Linked DNA regions of Schizosaccharomyces pombe. The gene in region 3 interacts genetically with the main gene of each other region. Each region holds a gene or a part of one and is shown on either strand. Other genes may lie near its edges.

Region 1 (4,745 bases), on a different chromosome or scaffold from region 3:
AACAAGGAAGTTACGTACGATTCCTATTAGTTTTTTTATTATGAGTCCTAGAATTCTTTTTTTCCGATGCTCTGTTGTGCTCCTTATTATTTAAATTGGGGCCCGAAGGCGACATTTTGATTGTTTATAGAAGATTGCGTGTATGGCGCTGGGTAAATAAAATTTCGTAAAGCGAGCTGCTGTATGCTAAAAAAAACAGTTTAGCTGGAGACCTCTGAATTAGCTGGAATATCGCAAACTAAGAATATATTTATAATTTCAACATTATTGGAAAGTTTTTAAGCTTCTGAATTGATTTTTGAAACGTGCATCGAATATTTTGTTAGAAACGTATATAGCATTGAATGTACAGCGGAAGTAAATAGCAATCTCTTATAAAGGGCTTATATAATTTACTAATTTGTTTTGAAAAAAATATTCCCCTAACTTTTTCGCCATAATCTTTTTACTTTGTGCTTAAACAAGAAGTCGTGTATGTATGTAAGCAAGCGTTGTCCTGTCTACAAATAAATGCAATTGTTACAACTGTTAAATGTGGCTTCATCTAAAGTGTGATTGGATCTTTAGAAGTCGTAAACACCATGAAATGATTCAATCAATAATAAGTATATTCATTAAGGACTAATATAAAAGAGAAGAACACTTTCCACTCAGTCTAATCAATTTATAAGTCTTTTGACGGTTATAAGCAGCAATCTTCCAAAAAAAAAACGACCCACAAGCACACAAAAATGTTTATGTAAACATACTCTAACAAACGGATGACAGGTTTGCAACCCCAAAGAAAATCCCAAAATAAAATAATAAACAAATTAAAAAGACAGTACATTATTTGAGACTTAAAAGCATATATCCAGAAAACATCCATTTGCGTATAATTTAATATATACACTATAGACACAAGACGAGTACTAGTCATACAACCAAGCCATATCTTAGATCATCCAAAACTGTAAAGCAAACATCATATTATGGGTTTGTAATACGCAAGGGTAGTAAATAAAATTTATTATTGATGATATGGCTTCGACAGCTCCAAGCGACGGTGGTTTCGTAAACAAAATTCCCCGACAATGGGCTGAAGTGAATCATTTTTTATTTCAATGATATTATAGAGCAAAGCAGCGGTAAAATAATTAAAGGTGCGGTGAAGAAAGTGTTAATACAATACATGAAAATCTCCATCATGCACAACAGTTCATTTAGAAAAGAAAATCAATATGCTATATGAATTTATAAAAAAAAGCACAAAGATATCCATAAGGAATAGGTGATAAGAAATATTCGTAAAATCACAGTCAGTCTAACGTAAATTACCTCTTGTAGCAACCCAAGGTCTAAAGTCAGCAACCTGAACTTTTGTTTTCACACTGCATTTAAGATCAGAAAGTTGTAATGCAAAATACGATATCTGATTATGCGTGGAGACTCTCTAGACATACATAGCCTCTAGTATTAAAGCACGGATATGACATGGACATAGGCAAAATCTGTTGAGGAAAAACAGGTAAGCAAGCGAGTATTGAACGAAATAAACATTTATTGCATGCAATGAAAGCAAAAAACTTGAATGATTTTTGGAGACAAAAAAAAAAGGGATTATTGCAAGATATTATATGAAAAAAAGTTTTGGCTGTTTTATATGGTCATGCAGCAAACACAAAGGCTCAAGCGGTGGATTCGGCGGTAGGAGGCTCGACCAACTCTTTTTCCTCCTGCTTGGGAAGATCGTTCGGAGCCGCTGGTTCTTCATTTTTAGGCTGAGGTTTGGGCAATTGATCATCAGGAATCTTCGTCATGAGATTTGTTAAGTACTATTAATTAAGTTAGCTTAGCTTCGGCAGCAGGTAACAAAGAGCAATGCGGAATGTTTTCCACAAGTAACCAAATGAAAAAAGTAGACAAGGAAAGTTACAATCGACAAAGTAAAAGTTTGTTGACAAACCTCCTTAAAACAATTGTGAACCCATCCATGATTAACTTACCTTGTTCATGGTAAACATATGCAAAGTGTCGACTTCGAAAACGCTTTTCAATTTGTCATCACAAAGAATTGTTCGCTTGTCGTTGGGATCTTGTAAGTCATGTGCTTTTATATACTCCCATAACTTCTTCACAGTTTGGGGACGAGATAACTACGTTAGTTAGCAATCAGCAGAGAAAGCGTGCAAATAAACATTTAGTATGTAAGCCTGCCTCTTTTTTCAAAACAACAAGATTTTGAATGGAACGAGTAGGCACGGCTTCCACACTACAACACCGCCTTACCTGTTCAAGACCCAAAAATTCGGCCAACTTAGGGGACAACTTCATAGGCTTATTCAGAGGATTGTTGGCAGGATCTTGGTTCCTCTTGCGTTTTCCACCCTCTTCTCCATCTTCCTTGCGTTTTCGGGTTCTCTTTGCTGGTTTCTTGCCTTCTTCAGTGCCATTTTCCGTCGCTCTCTTACCCTTGGTTTTGCGAGCGGGTGCTTGTTTTTCTACAAGTTTGGTTAATTATTATTTCTTGCATTATTATTTGCAAATTTCTTCCAGCAATATTCTCATCTTACCTAAACTCTCCTTCTCTGAAGGTGCGGCGGTTTCATCAAAGCATTTCAAAATCAGCGCATTCAAGTCTTTTTTATGCGCACTCAAATCTACCTTTCTTCTTTCTTCTAAAAGTTGACGAACTTGCTTCGCAGATACAGTTTGGCGATCAACTGTACCGAGAATTTGCTTAATGTCTGTTTCGTACTCTTCCATCGTTCTAGTTCTTTATACTACCACCTTACTGTGTTGGTCAAAGTATGGTGTAGTGAGACGGTGGTAGTGGATATAGATTACGGTAAAGAAGGAAAGAGCGCTGGTGTAGCTAAATGCGATTTTGAAAAACACGCTATTTTTACAGATGTAAATACATAAAGCTTCAATTTAATTTCTTGTAAAACTAAAAATAATGGAAATTATATATGTTATTTTGTGCTCTCATGTTAGCTTTGTTTACTATTAGAATGCTGCTTTTTGTAAATAACTGAACTTAGCCAAAACCAACACTTGTTCCAGTATGAGCGTTGGGAACGTTGGCAAGCAAAGGGAGAAAACAAAAGATTCATCAGCTAAAACAAAGCAGAAAACCCTCTTTGGGTTTTTCTCCAAAATCCCGAATGTGAAACAAGAGAAGTCGGATTCTACATTATCTAGTAGTTCGAATCACGACTCTAATCATGATACGCCTGCTGATGTTGACAACAGCTCCAATGTGAACAAAAACTCTTCGTCTCCGGAACGCGAATTGCCAACGAGTCCTTCTCATCATGCGAATACCGAGATAGATTCCAGTTCATCTATGCTTCCTCCTCCATCAAGTGATCCATTTTCCTCACCGCTTTCTAGCAGCCTACACCGATCATCTCCTAAACGCCCTCATGATTCTTTGGGCGAGGAGTCACCAGGTAAATTGCTTCGCACGTCTGTGAAGCAAGAGCCCGACTCTGAAGAAGAAATCGATTCTCCGACGAAAAAGAAAAGTTTTAAAAGTTTGGATACATCAATATTTCAAGCTGAAGATCAATTTCGTCATCCTGTCTCGTCGAAGCTGGAAAATTCGGAATTATCTGAAGTCGACAAGCCTTTTATAGCTTCTCGGCGTTCAAGGAAGGTATGGGTAATTGAGTGATACATATTACTTTAGAAGAATAAAAGGGGAAATACGCACTTTACCCCTATATTAACCAGATTTTTGTTTTAATTAATTATGACTAACAATATGCTAGCCTGTTTCCTACGCTGAAAGTGATGAAGACGAAGACTTCGACGATGCACCTACCAAAGGATCTCGTCATAAAAGAATCGTTTCTGATGACGAATCGGATGACTACGTTGAGCCCGATCATATTTCGGAAGCCTCATCTGAGGCATCCTTGCCTATTGATGAAGTCGAATCTATGGATGAGGATGTTGATGGATATTCAGATCATTCCGTTTCTGTGGCTGCTCCAATTCCCAAAAAGGAATCTCGAAAGGAGAGTTCCAATTCTTTGTATGAAAGTTATCGGCTAGGCTCTCAAATTGCCAGTCCAAGCCCTTCGGTCTCGGGTTCTGCATCTCCCACAAAATCGAATAAAAACGGTGTCCTGAACAGAGAAGAAAAAAGAAGGCAAAGAATGGAGGCATTTAAAAAAGAAAACAACGAACGTTACGAGTGGTTGCTAGATGTTCGAGATGCTGATCAAAATCGAGTGGGTGATCCTAATTATGATCCGCGCACATTGTATATCCCACCTTCAGCTTGGGCAACTTTCAAGCCATTTGAGAAACAATTTTGGAAAATTAAAAAGGACCTTATGGATACAGTTGTTTTTTTTCAGAAGGGAAAATTTTATGAGTTATATGAGAATGATGCCGCTATCGGACATCAGGTATTTTCCTTAAAGTTAACTGATAGAGTTAATATGAAGATGGTTGGAATTCCTGAAGCAAGTTTTGATTACTGGGCATCTCAATTCATTGCAAAGGGGTATCGTATAGCTCGAGTCGACCAATTGGAAACCGCTTTAGGTAAAGAAATAAAAGATCGTCAACGAACTCAGAAGGAAGAAAAAGTAGTTCAGCGAGGCCTTACCCAAGTCTTAACGAGCGGGACCCTTGTTGACGAGGCAATGCTGACTTCTGACTTGTCAACATATTGTATGGCTATTAAAGAAAGTCTTCAATCTGACAACGAAGAGCCTTCTTTTGGTATCTGCTTCATTGATACCTCGACT
Region 2 (4,494 bases), 2.1 Mb from region 3:
ATGTATTATTCCTTTCACGCTTTTGTTTATGAAAAAGGACATTAACTCTTTACAAACGTTAAATCCAGATCTAATACTTAAAGATGTAAAGGCTACTCAAAATTTCCGCAGTATAATTCACAGATGGGGTTTTAAAAACTTATTTCGAAGCGCATTTATGTTTTTCTCTGGTTTAGCTTCAATCGCTGGATCAATTTACTTTTGATAACAAAACATAATTGTAATGTATCGTTTACGTGTTAACTCTTGCGTTCCGATATTCGTTGATGATCAAATAATATTAAGTTCTAATTTTTCTACTGCTGATTATTAAAACACTATATCACGTAGTTAAGTTCGTGAAATTTAAACTATTAAAAAATGCTAAAATTAAGAGAGCACATTTTTATTTTTAAAACGATTCGCTTATAAATTGTTCATACTGCTCAAACATTGTTGTTTGGATTCTATAGTTTGTCAGCTTCAAACAAGTCGACTGAATCAAATTTTTACAAAACGCTTTTCAAAAACGAAACGACTGTTGAAAAACACGGGTTGTTCAATGTTCAGTCATGCAACCAGCGATGCTTTGGGTCTATCAAGGTGTATAAAAGAATAAACATTAGCGGATTGGTTAAGTCTTCAACCTTTTGGTAATTATATGTAACCCATTAACATTTATTCGTAATACCTTTACGAAATCTCGGTATAGGATATCGTTTCAATGCTTGTTCTTCTTGCGTAATACATGAGCAGATAAGTATAGTTTTTAAAGCACTCTACAAGAACTTAACAAAACTCCTAAGTTAAATATCAAATAACAACGACTAATCCTTTTGGTTTATATAAGAGAACACCTTTTTTCGGGTCGTTAAATACATGTCCATAAATTTTGAGTTCATCATGATTGAAACGAAGACGAAGCTCAATCTAGAGAAACGAGGATACTTCATCTGTACTCATTATAAGAAATGCAGTTCATTGGTCGTTTGCAGGCTGGGCTCTAGGTTGAGAGCCATTGGAATTCCTGTATTGGTTATATTGATTTCTTGCATATCCACGTCCACGACCTCTACCACCACGTCCACGACCACGTCCACGACGGCCGCGATTTCCAGAGCCAGCAACGCCAAATGTCTCCATGTTCAAAGAACGTTCGCGATCTCGTAGAGCTCTTCTATCTGCAGCTTCCATACCCTTCTCTTTACTTTCACAACTAATATTATCAAAAAAAGATTGCTTAGGCTTGTAAAATTCTTCGGCTTCTTCATCATTTTTTCCTTTTAACAAATCATCTTTCATCGATTGAAACTTTTGATTTGCAGTTTGAAAGTCAAATTCGGTACGAGGCTTTGCAGCACTAGCATCAGGTTGAGTTGTAGGAACTTCTTTAGAAGGTCCAGATGTTTCAACGGTTTGGGATTGAGAGACATCCACAGTAGTATTCACAACACGGTCATTTGTGACAGTGGAATTCCGTATACTAGTACTTTCTTTTTCAATAGATGCTTCAATGGAGGGCTGTGCACCTGGTATCACTCCATTCGTGGGCGGCATGGATTGAAGAGACGGAGATGCAGATACCGCGGTAGGACCAGGAGCAGGCATGCCCGGAGCAAAGTTGGGAGGCTTCTGGTTTGAAGGCATTCCGTATCCAGGACGTACGTTGTACGGGGCCTGACCGGCAAACCCTTGAGAAACATTTTGAGCAAACTCAGGACGTTGACCCATTTGCTGTTGATCAGGTGCCCCATAATACGGGACCGCAGGTGTGGATGCGTCTAAGGGAGTACCCAAAGGCAAACCTCCAGGAGGTACAAATTGAGCGGGAGCATTCGGGTACATATAGTAAGGTGCACCTGCTGGAGGAGCCTGTTGGTATGGAGCTCCATAAGGGTTAGGTTGAACAGGCTGAGGAGGTTGGGCAGTCTGCGCTTGGTTCCAATTATACTGCCCGCTATTAGACTAATTATAGTTAAAATCATGATCTTGTCAGATATATAAAGAGTGCCAAAGATAATTAATACTAGATATACTAATGAGAATCTCCACCACTCTTTAGACGTAACATACCCCAATAATTGCAGGATCATTAGGAGGTTGAACCGGGGGAGCAGAAGGAGTAGTAGCAGGTTCCTCAATCCGTAAATCTTTAACATCGCTTCCACGAAAAACAATGTAATCAAATACATTATCTGATGGGGGGATTTCTTGAGAGGGATCTTGTTTTCTTCCTTCAGTACCACACCAACGGACTAAACTGTTAGTAATCAATGCTGGGTACTCAACCTACCATGCTTCAAAGCCAGTGTTGAGTCCTGGGAATTGATGTCCTGCAAAATGCCCACATAACTAAATATTAGTAAAGGAAAGATAATGCTCTCACGTACCGAATGTCAGATTTGCTAATTAGACTAATACGAGAACCAATAAATTCAGTCATTGGTTATAAACTCGACGAAGTAAAGCTTAGTGGTGAAAGGAGCGTGGTTAGGTGTCCTTTCGAAATTAACGAACTTGGCGATAGCGCTAGTATGGGGTTCATTATACCGAGTAAATAAGACCAAAATGCGACATTGTCATTTATAAGCTGTTTTTTCATCAGTTTTTATATTTATTTAAAATTAACATGCTTAAGATCAAAAAGGCTATCCACAGCTGCTCTGACCATGTACTACTTATTTTACTTAAATACGTATATGTGCAGCAGTCAAATTGTAACTAATTTTATACTTATTACAAGTAATCTATTTTTAAAAAGAATGAAAATGCCAAGCAAAAGACACTGTACTTTAACGCTCTTCAAAATTGAGTTAACCTGAAACCGCACCGTCAATTACATTATCCAACTAACATATTCATTTTCTGATACGTATGAAAATTTTAAGTTAAAGAATGAAACAAAAAACTTTTTAATATAACAAAAACCTTTTCCCAATTCAACGTAACTGAGTTTATGTCCAAAATTGTAACTCCCCTTGTTGATCTAATAGAGTAGCCTTGAAAAAAATATTCCAAAAGTAATATTTCATATCTAATTTTCCAATTTTGCTTTTTTGACAGAAGAAGTTTCTTTCTGGCCCTTACGTTTTGGAAACCTTCCGGCAGCTAGATTGCTGTCAGAAGTTAACACCTTGATCCCAGATAAAACGAAACCCATATCACCCCTAACAGTCATGAATGGATGAGTCCTTTCTGGCAAGACTTGGTAAGGTCGTGTACGAATCTCATGAATATCCAGCATGATGACTTTCTCTTTCTGTGTATCAATAGCAACGTCTCCTTGATCAACCTTTTCGTCATTTTCAGTACTTTGAGCTGTCTTTTCTACAAATAAGTTATCCCATTTAGATAATTGATGATACGTCTCGACTAAGACTTGCTGATATGTTGAGTATACCATGAAAGGACGTGATATACCGAGCTTTGGAAGAAGATGTTGAAGAACAGACATTGGGGTGTGAATAGATAGTATAAAGAGAGCATCATAGTTACCACTTTCAAAATCATCAATAGTATTCTTCAAACGGTTAAATGTAGCTTTCTTCGTTTCATAGCGCTTACGGTGGCGAAGTTTCATCTCATTCAACTCTGATTCAGGAATATCTTCAACCGAATACTCACTTAAAGTCTCGGTTGGATTCGTAACTTGATACCAATTCAAAGTTTTCAAAATCCCTTTTTGAACCAAACTATCCTCTTTAAAGTCTTGCCCCCAATACTCTAAACAAGAGCTATTAGGTTGCTCATTTGGATGGACCAGGGTTATTTTGCAATCACCAGCAACACGGTCAATAAGAGAACCAAGGAACATGCATCCAGTCTCATCAACTACCAAATATCTACCCCCAGGTTTAACATTTCCAAGAGTAAGCATCAAGCTTATACACTCGGCAGTAAGATCAAGTATCTTATACGGATCATGTTCAATCATGTAATTAGCCACAACTTCAACACAAGGTCGTAAAACCTGAAAGCGTTGAAGATACTTTTCCCCTTTTCTCGTAACATATTTCTCCTGAGCAAATAAAGTTTTTTGCTCAAAAGTTTTACTACTATTAGTCAACTGTTTGATGGCCTCTTCAGCACGAAGTCCACCAGCTTTAATGTTTGCGCGCAGTTCATCAATCTCCTCTTGAGTCATAAGCTGATTGCCTCGACAATCATTAAGTTCTTGATTCGTTTTCTTTTCTTCCTCGATATACTGTACCTCCCTTGTTTTTAAAACTCGAATTTTTTTGGGTTGATAAATTTCAAAAGTTTCGTCAAAATGCTTTCCAAACAAATCATCAGCGAGAAATGAACCAAATTTTCCGAGGTGAATTGTACTATTTAATATAAAGTCAGTAAGATCAATATGAACGAGATAAACTAGATCACCTCTATCTCCTTATGCAAAAAACAATTTCAATTGCTATCATTGAAAATGTACTTTAAATTGTAAATTAAGATCCTCATACTTACTTGTTTGGTTTCAATGTTACAAAACGAACATTGTCTGAAGGAAGCTTGATG
Region 3 (4,620 bases):
GAATTGTTGGGTCAATTAGCTGAAGAAACTTATGGACGTACTTGACACGTGCATTCAAAAAATATGAATGCAATGCACTATCATGATGCTCACTGAATGCTAATACTGCTTCAGATACCATGTTAGCATGGCGATTGCTCAGCTCTGTTTGCAAAGACGTTATAATTTCAGACATGTTGTGGTTCTTGATAACATGTTAATAGTGTCTACGCGTCTTTTGTTTACATCAAGCTAGCGATATATAGCGTACTGTTTTAGCTCACAAGACTTTCTTTGTGTTCAGTTTCTCTTAAAACATTTAGTCTTAGGTTTTTAGCAATAGAATTAATTTTTTAGCACAAAGGCTAGAATGAAAGATTGCTTTTGGCCATTGAAAACGTTTTATTTACCTAGATGTTTACATTTAATCTAACATACAACGGTGGAATACGGTTGAATCAAAACAAAATAGTGACAAGGGGAGGTTGCTGTTTTTTCAACAAGATTGAGATATTGCTTTCTTATTTATTCTCCATTACTTGTTTTGTAAGGACTCAATGTTTACGGTGATCTTTGAGTGAGCAGTTAGGTAGCGTTATCTATCGTAAAGTCGTTACTTGACTGAATCAGCACAGTACTTTAGTATTTGCAGACAGCATACCTGATAATACGAATTTGCTTCGTTTATTTTATATTATCTTATTTTTCTTTAAATTATAAAAGCATTTCCAAGTAGAAAATTGGCTCATATCTCTACATCATCAACATGGAGGACCCCTTTTATGAAGTCAAAGCGTAAGTTGTGCAATGATGAACCAGAAATGTCTTAATAGATTCCTTTTGTTGCTTTAAGATTTTATTTAACTGACATTTATTCGAAATATAGGGATGCATCAAATCAAATGGAGCAAGTGCGAAAGCTTTACAATTCTTTTATGGCCGCACGAAACTCTGGAGTCCTTTCACCAAATACTGAGCTTACTTACGCCATTGATGAGTTAAGCGAAACATTGAAGGACTTAAAAGCTGCTGTGGAAATAGCGATGAAAAATTCTGAGCATTTTGGGTTAGATGAAGAAGAACTAAAGTCGAGAAGGAGATTTGTCTCGGAACTGGATATTGAGTTAAACAATATACAGTTAAAGATGGGTGCTGCCCCAAGCACACCAGTTTCTACAGAACCTTATACTGTTGACAATGGTGCCTCAGCTGGTTTGTCTGAAGAAGATCATGCTGTCAATCGACAATATCAAGAGCAGCTTTATCAGCAACAAGACGTAATGCTGGACGGGGTTTACGACACGATTGGAAACATTCGTGGGCAGGCAGCTTTGATGGGCGAAGAATTGGGTCAACAGGCTGACTTGTTAGATACTCTTGACAATTCCATTGAGACCACTAATAGTAAGCTTCGCAGGGGTATGAAGCGGTTGAAAGATTTTACGATTGCAAGCGCAGACTCTAAATCTGGATGTTGTATTACCGTACTCATTATCATCTTAATTGCATTGTTGGTATTGGTTATTGTGCTGTAACTAAATCTTTATATTGTATTATTTAATTCTTTGAACCATCTTCCCAATAAACGAATAACCAATCATTCCATAGGTAACCTCGAGCTTTGGGAAGACAAAAAAAATTTCATGTCTGTGTTCTCGTTCCTTAAATTAATTAGACTTCTTGGACTTTTTGGAAGGTGGTTCTGCGATTTTTGTGTTAGTTTTACAATACATTGACATCTATCATATCATCTATTCATGCTTTCGCCTTATTTTTTTAAGACCTGTTTTCGTACCTTGCTTTTCTTCGTCCCCTTCTTCGTCTTCTTCGTCTTCTTCTTCCTCATCTTCCTCCAAATCTACTGACTCATCCTCATCACTCGCTTCTTCGGTCATGGCTTCTGTAAAATATTTTACAGCATTTGGAAAAAGATCCTCTGCCAGAAAAATTGTGAGTGTTGCTCCATCAAAATCATCGTCCTCTTCCTCTCCGGTCCATTGAAAATAGTCAAAAAAATTAGGAGGTAATTTTTTATTTTTTCTAAATAAACTCTTTCCTGGTTTCCAATGTATATCAACAGGTTGCGAAGTATACTTGGTTATCTTTTTTTCCAAACCCTCATCATCCTTTGCTTTTTCCTCTTTAATTCTCACTTCTTTTACCAAGGTAAGGTTGTCGTCCTGAAGATATTCGTTTGGTTGAAAGGTAAGCGAAATTCGGACATCCCTTGGTTCCTTTTCATTAAACCTTTCAACATAAATATTTTCGAGTTTTTCAAGTAACACACTATCTTCAGGTGTTATGTACTGGCCTGAAATAACTTAATTAGAATTTCAACAATGTTTAAACAAAAACAATAATAGTATACAATTTTACATACTGATTTCATCCCCAGCAGCTTCCAGAACTACTACCCAAAAGTTGTTAATGGTCTTCAAAATATCACGACGCTGCTCAAAAAGCGGTTGAAAAAGCTCATTTTGTTTCTTCACTAGCACCAAGATACATTAGCAATTGTTAACACATTTTTTATAAAAAACGTAATTTTATGCTACAAAAATGCAAAATCGATTAAACATACATATTTCGATTTCTGCTTTTCCAAACTCTTGCTCTAGGTTTGCGAGATTTTCAAAAGCTTGAGCTGCCTCCATTTTGTAGGTTAATTTCGTGCAAGGGAGAAAAATCTAATAGTAATTCGAAAATTCTCACTTCGTCAACGATGATGAAGGCACTACCCTTACCACGTTTTTACGTACGATGAACAATGCTAGCAAAGTATATCAGAGGCTTTACTTTCCAATATAATGACTGCCGTAGCTTCTGTAGCTTGCAATAATTTAACCTTGACTTTTTCAACAGTATACAAACCATCCATATTACTAGTAATCGAGCAGGATTCTAGTTTTTAACTCACACCATTTTCATAGGTTGTTTTTATAAGTGTAATAACTTATTAGTCTGAACAAAGAGTAAAATTAGAAAATAAACTGTAGTTTGCGCGGTTTCGAGCTTTCAGGCTAGCGTGCTTGCATTTTCCAAACTTCTCCTGACCATGATGAAGAAAGGAGAGGAGGAAAAAAGGTATAACATTTCGAATGCAACTACAAATTTGTATTATATTGCATTATATGAAACGCTGTTATAGTTTACTGGTGTATCTATTTTATCAGTTATGAAGTATGTCTTTGTAGTTTAATCAAAAATCCATGATTATGGTAAAACAATGAAGAAAAGTTAACCAAACGCGATTAAAAGTTAAAACTTTTTGACCGCTTCACTTCAAACAATGAAGCGCTTTGCATACAAATGCAGATAATCATTATATCCAACTGTTCGTTATCGATTGAAGATCTGAAGTCTGATTCATCTTATCCAACTCAAAATTACATCTTAACTAAAGAATGTATGATCCGTGCCGATTATCGCATTTATTCGGCTCAAATCAATCTATACTCATTACAATACCAGTATACTGCGTTCTTCCATCTTTAGTATACCACGAGCGAGAAACTTCTTCCTCCAGCAAATTCGCGGCAAACAAGCAATTTATCTAAAAATCCAATTCAGAGGAAAGAAAAGAAATAGAATTGATAATAATTATATTTTCAAGTCCTATATTGCCGTCCTGATATAAACTGATTTGCTTTCTTTCCTTCCAGTTTACACAGGACGAATTTTCAACCAACAGTTTAATTGTGAATAAATATATTTGCTTCCTATTAAACTAGTAAATTATTGGCAACAATAGTTGGTAAAAGCTGTTCATGGATGCGGCGAAACGTCTGGAACTATGCAAGGAAATTCAAGAAAATGAAATTGAGGCCCTCAAAGCCATTTTTATGGATGATTTTGAGGAGTTGAAAGTTAGGAATGCTTGGAATGTATGATTAATGTTTGTTCACTACCCATTTACTAACAATGGTATCTTAGGTTACAAACGGCCATGTTTATTGTATACATCTATGTTCAAGAAGTGCAAACTCTAAAAGTATTGCGAAACTTGATCTTTGTATTGAGCTTGGAAGAAGCTATCCTTATGTGAAACCAGTGATCAAGTTACAAAATGGAGAAAATGTCCTAAACTCTCAGATTCGATTTTTGCTTGATAAGTTAGATACAAAGGCAAAAGACTTGCTAGGAGAGGAAATGATTTTTGAACTTGCCAGTATAGTGCAGGACTATCTTAATGATTGGCAGTCTGACCTCTCTTCTCAATTTGCTAGCTTGGAAGAGGAACGTGCGGTACAACTAAAGCATGATCGAGAGAGAGCGGAAGTGGATTTACAACTTAGGTTAAAACGGGAGAAAGATGCCTTATTTGAGGAAGAACAAACGCTTCAGAACAAAATTCAAGATGAATTACAACGCCGCTCATACGAAACACCGCAATCTTCTTCTAAGAAAAAGACGAATAGTAAGGAAACAACTTCTCTCGAAACCCTCCCAACTTCTATTTATTTTGATTGTTCTATATCCGTTAGAGACTGTCACGATTCTTTGGTTACATTTAATAGAGTGCTTCCTTTGTATACAATCTCGCATTCCAACCTTTCTACTTTGACTTTGGTCAAGCCTGAATCTAAAGAGATATCTTTACAGGATTGTGTTTTTCTACTTAGAACCGTCCGAATTAGTACG
Region 4 (4,258 bases), on a different chromosome or scaffold from region 3:
TACGATCTGGCGTTTATTCTGTGCTTTTAATACTTTAGGCAAGTCGCGCTTGCAACCAATCCATGTAGGAAAATATAGAAAATAAACAATTTCTGTTTATTACTAAGCTTCGTTAAGATTTTGCCGTTCTTCTGTTTAGGTATTGTAATTACTTGTAAGTTGCACCGTTCACGAGTGCCAAAAAAAATACTCAATAATCTGACTATAAAGTGTTTAAAGGTATAAGATAATATACTAACCTAATTCATTATTTTAATTTCTAAATCTATTGCAAACTGGTAAACTTTCTTTCAATACCTGCCAATTCGATAATCGTAAAGGCATCTCGCGCATCAAGGAAAACATGAGGTTTAAAGGATCTAAAGCATCATGAAACTGAAATTTATCTTTATTCAACTAATAGAACCTATACTATTTGAAAGCTCAAATTCTACATTATACAGTTTTATAACGATAGTGCAGTAAATCCGATACAGTAGTCTGTTGTTCATGAACTCATTGTTGATCAACCTGTTCATAGCAAGTATGGCGCTAAAAATTAAAATACCAGAAACGTCTCAAGTAAGCTTTATTCCTTTAATTTTTACTTACAACTAGTCTTCTGATGAATATTCACGATGGACGGTTTACCATATTGAAGTAGCATTTCCGAATGGTGGGAAACATGTTGTATTTCGTCGGTTCAATGAATTCGTTGCTTTGGATGCTCAAATTCGGCCAAATGACTACAACAGTAGACTTTGCAAACTCCCCTCTAAATCTTGGGTTTCTTCAACTGTGACAAATGAAAAGTTACGTGAATCTCGACGACTTGCTTTACAAGCTTACGTTCAATGCCTTTCAGAAACGCCATGGATAAAAATGCCTGTGGTTAAAAAATTTCTAAATATTAAAGATGAATCGGAAGATGAAACACAGGGTCAGTTTTTGGGTCCGACAGATTGGATTCAAGTATTTCAAGATTGTAAACGTAATTTACATATGTACCGAGTTGACTTAATGAGTGGAAAAAGCATTACGATAGGAGTTCAAACAAAGAATGTCTATGCAATAAAGTCGCTAATGGATAACCTTTCAGAATCGTTAGACAAATTAGAATTAGCAAATGCTCTTGGTCCAGGAGAAATCCTTCGACGAAAAGATATGTTAGAACAGCTTGGTTCTGAATTCTTGTCATTTAAACGGTTAGTTAAAAATGCAAACAGCCCAGTCGCTCCTCCTTCTGCCTCATCTCAATTAAACTCTTCTAATCCTAGTTCTCCCTTTCGCCCATTATCTGCATCTACTGACAAACAATCTAATACCTCTTTGAACAGAGTCCTTGGAAAAAACAGAATGCCAGAGACACAGACAACAAAAAAGCTTGATAATGTAGGACTGTACAACATGCAGAATCAAACTATGGAAGATCAAGATATGCAAGCAGAATCGTTATTGCCTATTATTCAAAGGCAGAAGGAGCTTTCGAAAATGATTAATCAAGAAGTTGTCGAGCAAAACTCCATGTTAGACGAGCTTTCTAATGAAGCATATGCAAACCAAAAAAAGCTACACAGAACACGAGCTGGCCTTCGCAAATTGGGTTAATATTTGGGTGTTTATGAGTATTTGATTTAATTTCACGAAATTTAATGGAATCTTCTTTTGCAGTTTTGTCTTGTTTTCTATCCAATTCTGCTACATTAGTGATTGTCTTGGATGAGATTATCTGGGCTAAAAATATTTATTATTTGGTGTATTTGCGTTCTTTCCTTTTTTTTTTTTTTTGTTTAATCTTCTTGAAGATACCGCAGTAACCTCTGTGAGTTATATAGGCATGGTTAGTTCGTCCGTCAAGGTTGAAATAATTGTCTCCTTTAATTAAGCTTGATATTAATATACGACTTGTTTAAATTTCAACTTGTTTTGACAGACCCCATTTCTTTTGTATTTTGGTTTGGCTTGTAGTTCCTTTTAATGCATTTAGTGTACTGTGCTTAAGCTCGCTTTCTTTAGATTTTACTTATTGACAGACTTAGACAACTGAAATTCCAATAATGGAATTAACGCAAGAGAATACTGAGGAAAATGAAAAAACTCATGTAGAATCAATTGTAAAATTTGAGGATTCGAATAGAGGCACCATTACTGATTTTCATATCGAGACAGCTAACAATGAGGAAGAGAAAGACGCCAACGTAATTCTCAATAAATCTGTTAAAATGGAGGTTGAAGAAGTCAACGGTCACGTTGATTCTTCCTCAACGGAAACAGACATAGAAATGCAAGTCATTCAACAGCCTACAATACCCAAAAAACCACCCGTATCAGCTCATAGAAGGGGTCCACGAAAACACCGAGGAAATGCGAATAGCCAACTCAATCTGTCTACAGCCGATCATCAAAGACCATTGTATTGTATATGCCAAAAGCCTGATGATGGATCATGGATGTTAGGATGTGATGGTTGCGAAGATTGGTTTCATGGCACTTGCGTTAATATACCTGAATCTTATAATGATTTAACTGTACAGTACTTTTGTCCTAAATGCACAGAAGAAGGAAAGGGTATAACTACTTGGAAAAGAAAATGCCGGTTACGAGAATGCTCGAATCCCACAAGACCTAATTCCAACTATTGTAGTGATAAACATGGAGTCGATTTTTTTCGAGAAAAAGTAAAGCTGAGTACGGTTGAACCTTCTGCTATAAAAAATCTTGTATTGTTTGCAAAAAAAAGGGAAGAATTTCAAAATTTGGGTACGGTGGGACCGACATTGCCAAGCCAAGTTCCTCCTGAAGTTGTGTACAATTTTGAAATTGAGGAGGCCAATAGGCTGAACGCAGAAATTGTGCAATTAAATAAAGAGAAAGAAGTAGCATCTAACAAAAAAATATTTCTTCAGTTGATCAAAGATTCTTCGCGGAGAGCGGTTCTTGCTTACAAAGAAAGAGAAGGTATTAAGAAAGATCTGTGTGGATTCGATTCTCGACTTTTATTCAATCAACAACAAATGAATGAATTGTGGGAAAAAGTTTCAAATGGAGCACCGCTATCTCTTGACATGAGTATAGATCCTTCTCCTGAGTCCACCTGCTTTACAGAGAAGCGAAGATGTGCAAAGCACACAAGCTGGCAGGTAATTTTTACCGAAGATTTTGAGTTGCAAGAAAGTAATATTTTACAAAAACTAAACATGAAGCAAACTGCCAAAGATGTAATGTTGGAGCATCAAAAACAGAGGTGCCTACCCGGGATACAATACGACGGTTATGCTCGATTTTGTCATGAACAGTTATCTCCCGAAAAAATGGCTAATTTATTAAAATAAACAGAAGGATGCATCTTTTGGTTTAATTTACAATTTTGAAGTTTGCTTTAATTTCTAGATCATTTCATGTAAATCACGAGGCATTGATTCGCAAATGTTAATGAAAGAAAAGTTTATATTGCTTGGCATTTGTCTCTTAATTTTGGCTTTAAATTTATTGACTCCCTGTTTCGCAAAATAATGTTGACAGATGGTAATTTGGTTTTTCCTTCTAAAAAGTCACTTTTTAACATAAGGACATACATTCTACACCCTCTCTTTTTATCAACTCATGTCTTAATGGCCTTGAGGTTTTCTCTCTCTTTTGTTTTGAAATTTATTTTATTTTATTTTTTGGAAAACGCAGGCTCCTTGGATTTCACTAATCCTTCTTATTCCAGAAGCTAACGTCACAATGAGACAGAGGATTTCGTGGAGCTATAGAAAGCCAACTTTCTGACATTCCCATTGTTCTTTTTCAAACGAGCACTATGACTTTGGCATCCACCATGCCAATTATTTATTCGGCATCTGATGCCGCAAAATGGAAAGTTGCAGTATCTCCTTACCTGTATCAACTGAGCAATTTGAAGTTACTGTTTACTGGAAAGTTGAATTTTGCAGATTTTTATTATAATACGAATCCATTTGTTGTAGGACTACTTCTCTCATTTATTTTGGGAAATGTGCTTTGGGGAGTGTCTGTTTGGACGAAAAATACATCGCAAGTGGATCGGCTATGGCCAATTCTGCCAACGGCTTTTTCCTTGCATTTTCTGTTTTATGGTTTGGGATACAACATTGCTTCGCGAAGATTAATGATTATGGCATTTTTGCAGACTCTATGGTCCGCGCGTCTTACTTACAATTATTACCGTAAAGGAGGTTATAATCGAGGAGCAGAGGACTATCGTTGGGTGAGAGTTCGCCAAATCATGCCTAAATGGATATATCCATTATTCCACTAT

Evidence for each region.
Region 1: mutations in ccp1 (region 3) and spp27 together harm fitness more than expected from each alone (negative genetic interaction), as found in Schizosaccharomyces pombe (2 studies listed by BioGRID).
Region 2: mutations in ccp1 (region 3) and sum2 together harm fitness more than expected from each alone (negative genetic interaction), as found in Schizosaccharomyces pombe (2 studies listed by BioGRID).
Region 4: mutations in ccp1 (region 3) and spf1 together harm fitness more than expected from each alone (negative genetic interaction), as found in Schizosaccharomyces pombe (2 studies listed by BioGRID).

What each region holds. Positions count from the first base shown.
Region 1 is NC_003421.2:1,829,983-1,834,727, reverse strand, and holds spp27 (RNA polymerase I upstream activation factor complex subunit Spp27), read right to left. Parts: upstream 2,746-4,745; coding exon 2,553-2,745; exon of another isoform or gene 2,481-2,552; coding exon 2,269-2,480; exon of another isoform or gene 2,136-2,268; coding exon 1,986-2,135; exon of another isoform or gene 1,932-1,985; intron 1,815-1,931; coding exon 1,668-1,814; 3' UTR 559-1,667; downstream 1-558. Other genes in the region: hel2 (ubiquitin-protein ligase E3), read right to left, coding at 19-115; msh6 (DNA mismatch repair protein), read left to right, coding at 3,047-3,640, 3,756-4,745. UniProt on the Schizosaccharomyces pombe protein: Component of the UAF (upstream activation factor) complex which interacts with the upstream element of the RNA polymerase I promoter and forms a stable preinitiation complex. UAF seems to stimulate basal transcription to a fully activated level.
Region 2 is NC_003423.3:265,418-269,911, reverse strand, and holds sum2 (translation initiation inhibitor), read right to left. Parts: upstream 2,457-4,494; 5' UTR 2,423-2,456; coding exon 2,370-2,422; exon of another isoform or gene 2,332-2,369; coding exon 2,273-2,331; exon of another isoform or gene 2,235-2,272; coding exon 2,053-2,234; exon of another isoform or gene 1,945-2,052; coding exon 958-1,944; 3' UTR 504-957; downstream 1-503. Other genes in the region: SPOM_SPBC800.14C (uncharacterized protein), read left to right, coding at 1-205; trm6 (translation initiation factor eIF-3 gamma subunit Gcd10), read right to left, coding at 3,014-4,307, 4,444-4,494. UniProt on the Schizosaccharomyces pombe protein: Required for G2/M phase checkpoint control.
Region 3 is NC_003423.3:2,392,929-2,397,548, forward strand, and holds ccp1 (CENP-A histone disassembly chaperone Ccp1), read right to left. Parts: upstream 2,654-4,620; 5' UTR 2,634-2,653; coding exon 2,561-2,633; exon of another isoform or gene 2,471-2,560; coding exon 2,360-2,470; exon of another isoform or gene 2,291-2,359; coding exon 1,775-2,290; exon of another isoform or gene 1,682-1,774; coding exon 1,647-1,681; 3' UTR 1,515-1,646; coding exon of another isoform or gene 866-1,514; 3' UTR 775-865; coding exon of another isoform or gene 746-774; 3' UTR 641-745; exon of another isoform or gene 630-640; intron 579-629; 3' UTR 544-578; downstream 1-543. Other genes in the region: protein mug20, read right to left, coding at 42-175; tlg1 (SNARE protein Tgl1), read left to right, coding at 746-774, 866-1,514; eIF2 alpha kinase Gcn2, read left to right, coding at 3,747-3,863, 3,913-4,620.
Region 4 is NC_003421.2:363,257-367,514, reverse strand, and holds spf1 (Set1C PHD finger subunit Spf1), read left to right. Parts: upstream 1-2,032; 5' UTR 2,033-2,036; coding exon 2,037-3,311; 3' UTR 3,312-3,755; downstream 3,756-4,258. Other genes in the region: vsl1 (SNARE protein Vam7), read left to right, coding at 526-561, 598-1,587; SPOM_SPCC594.04C (steroid oxidoreductase superfamily protein), read left to right, coding at 3,782-4,258. UniProt on the Schizosaccharomyces pombe protein: The Set1 complex specifically methylates 'Lys-4' of histone H3.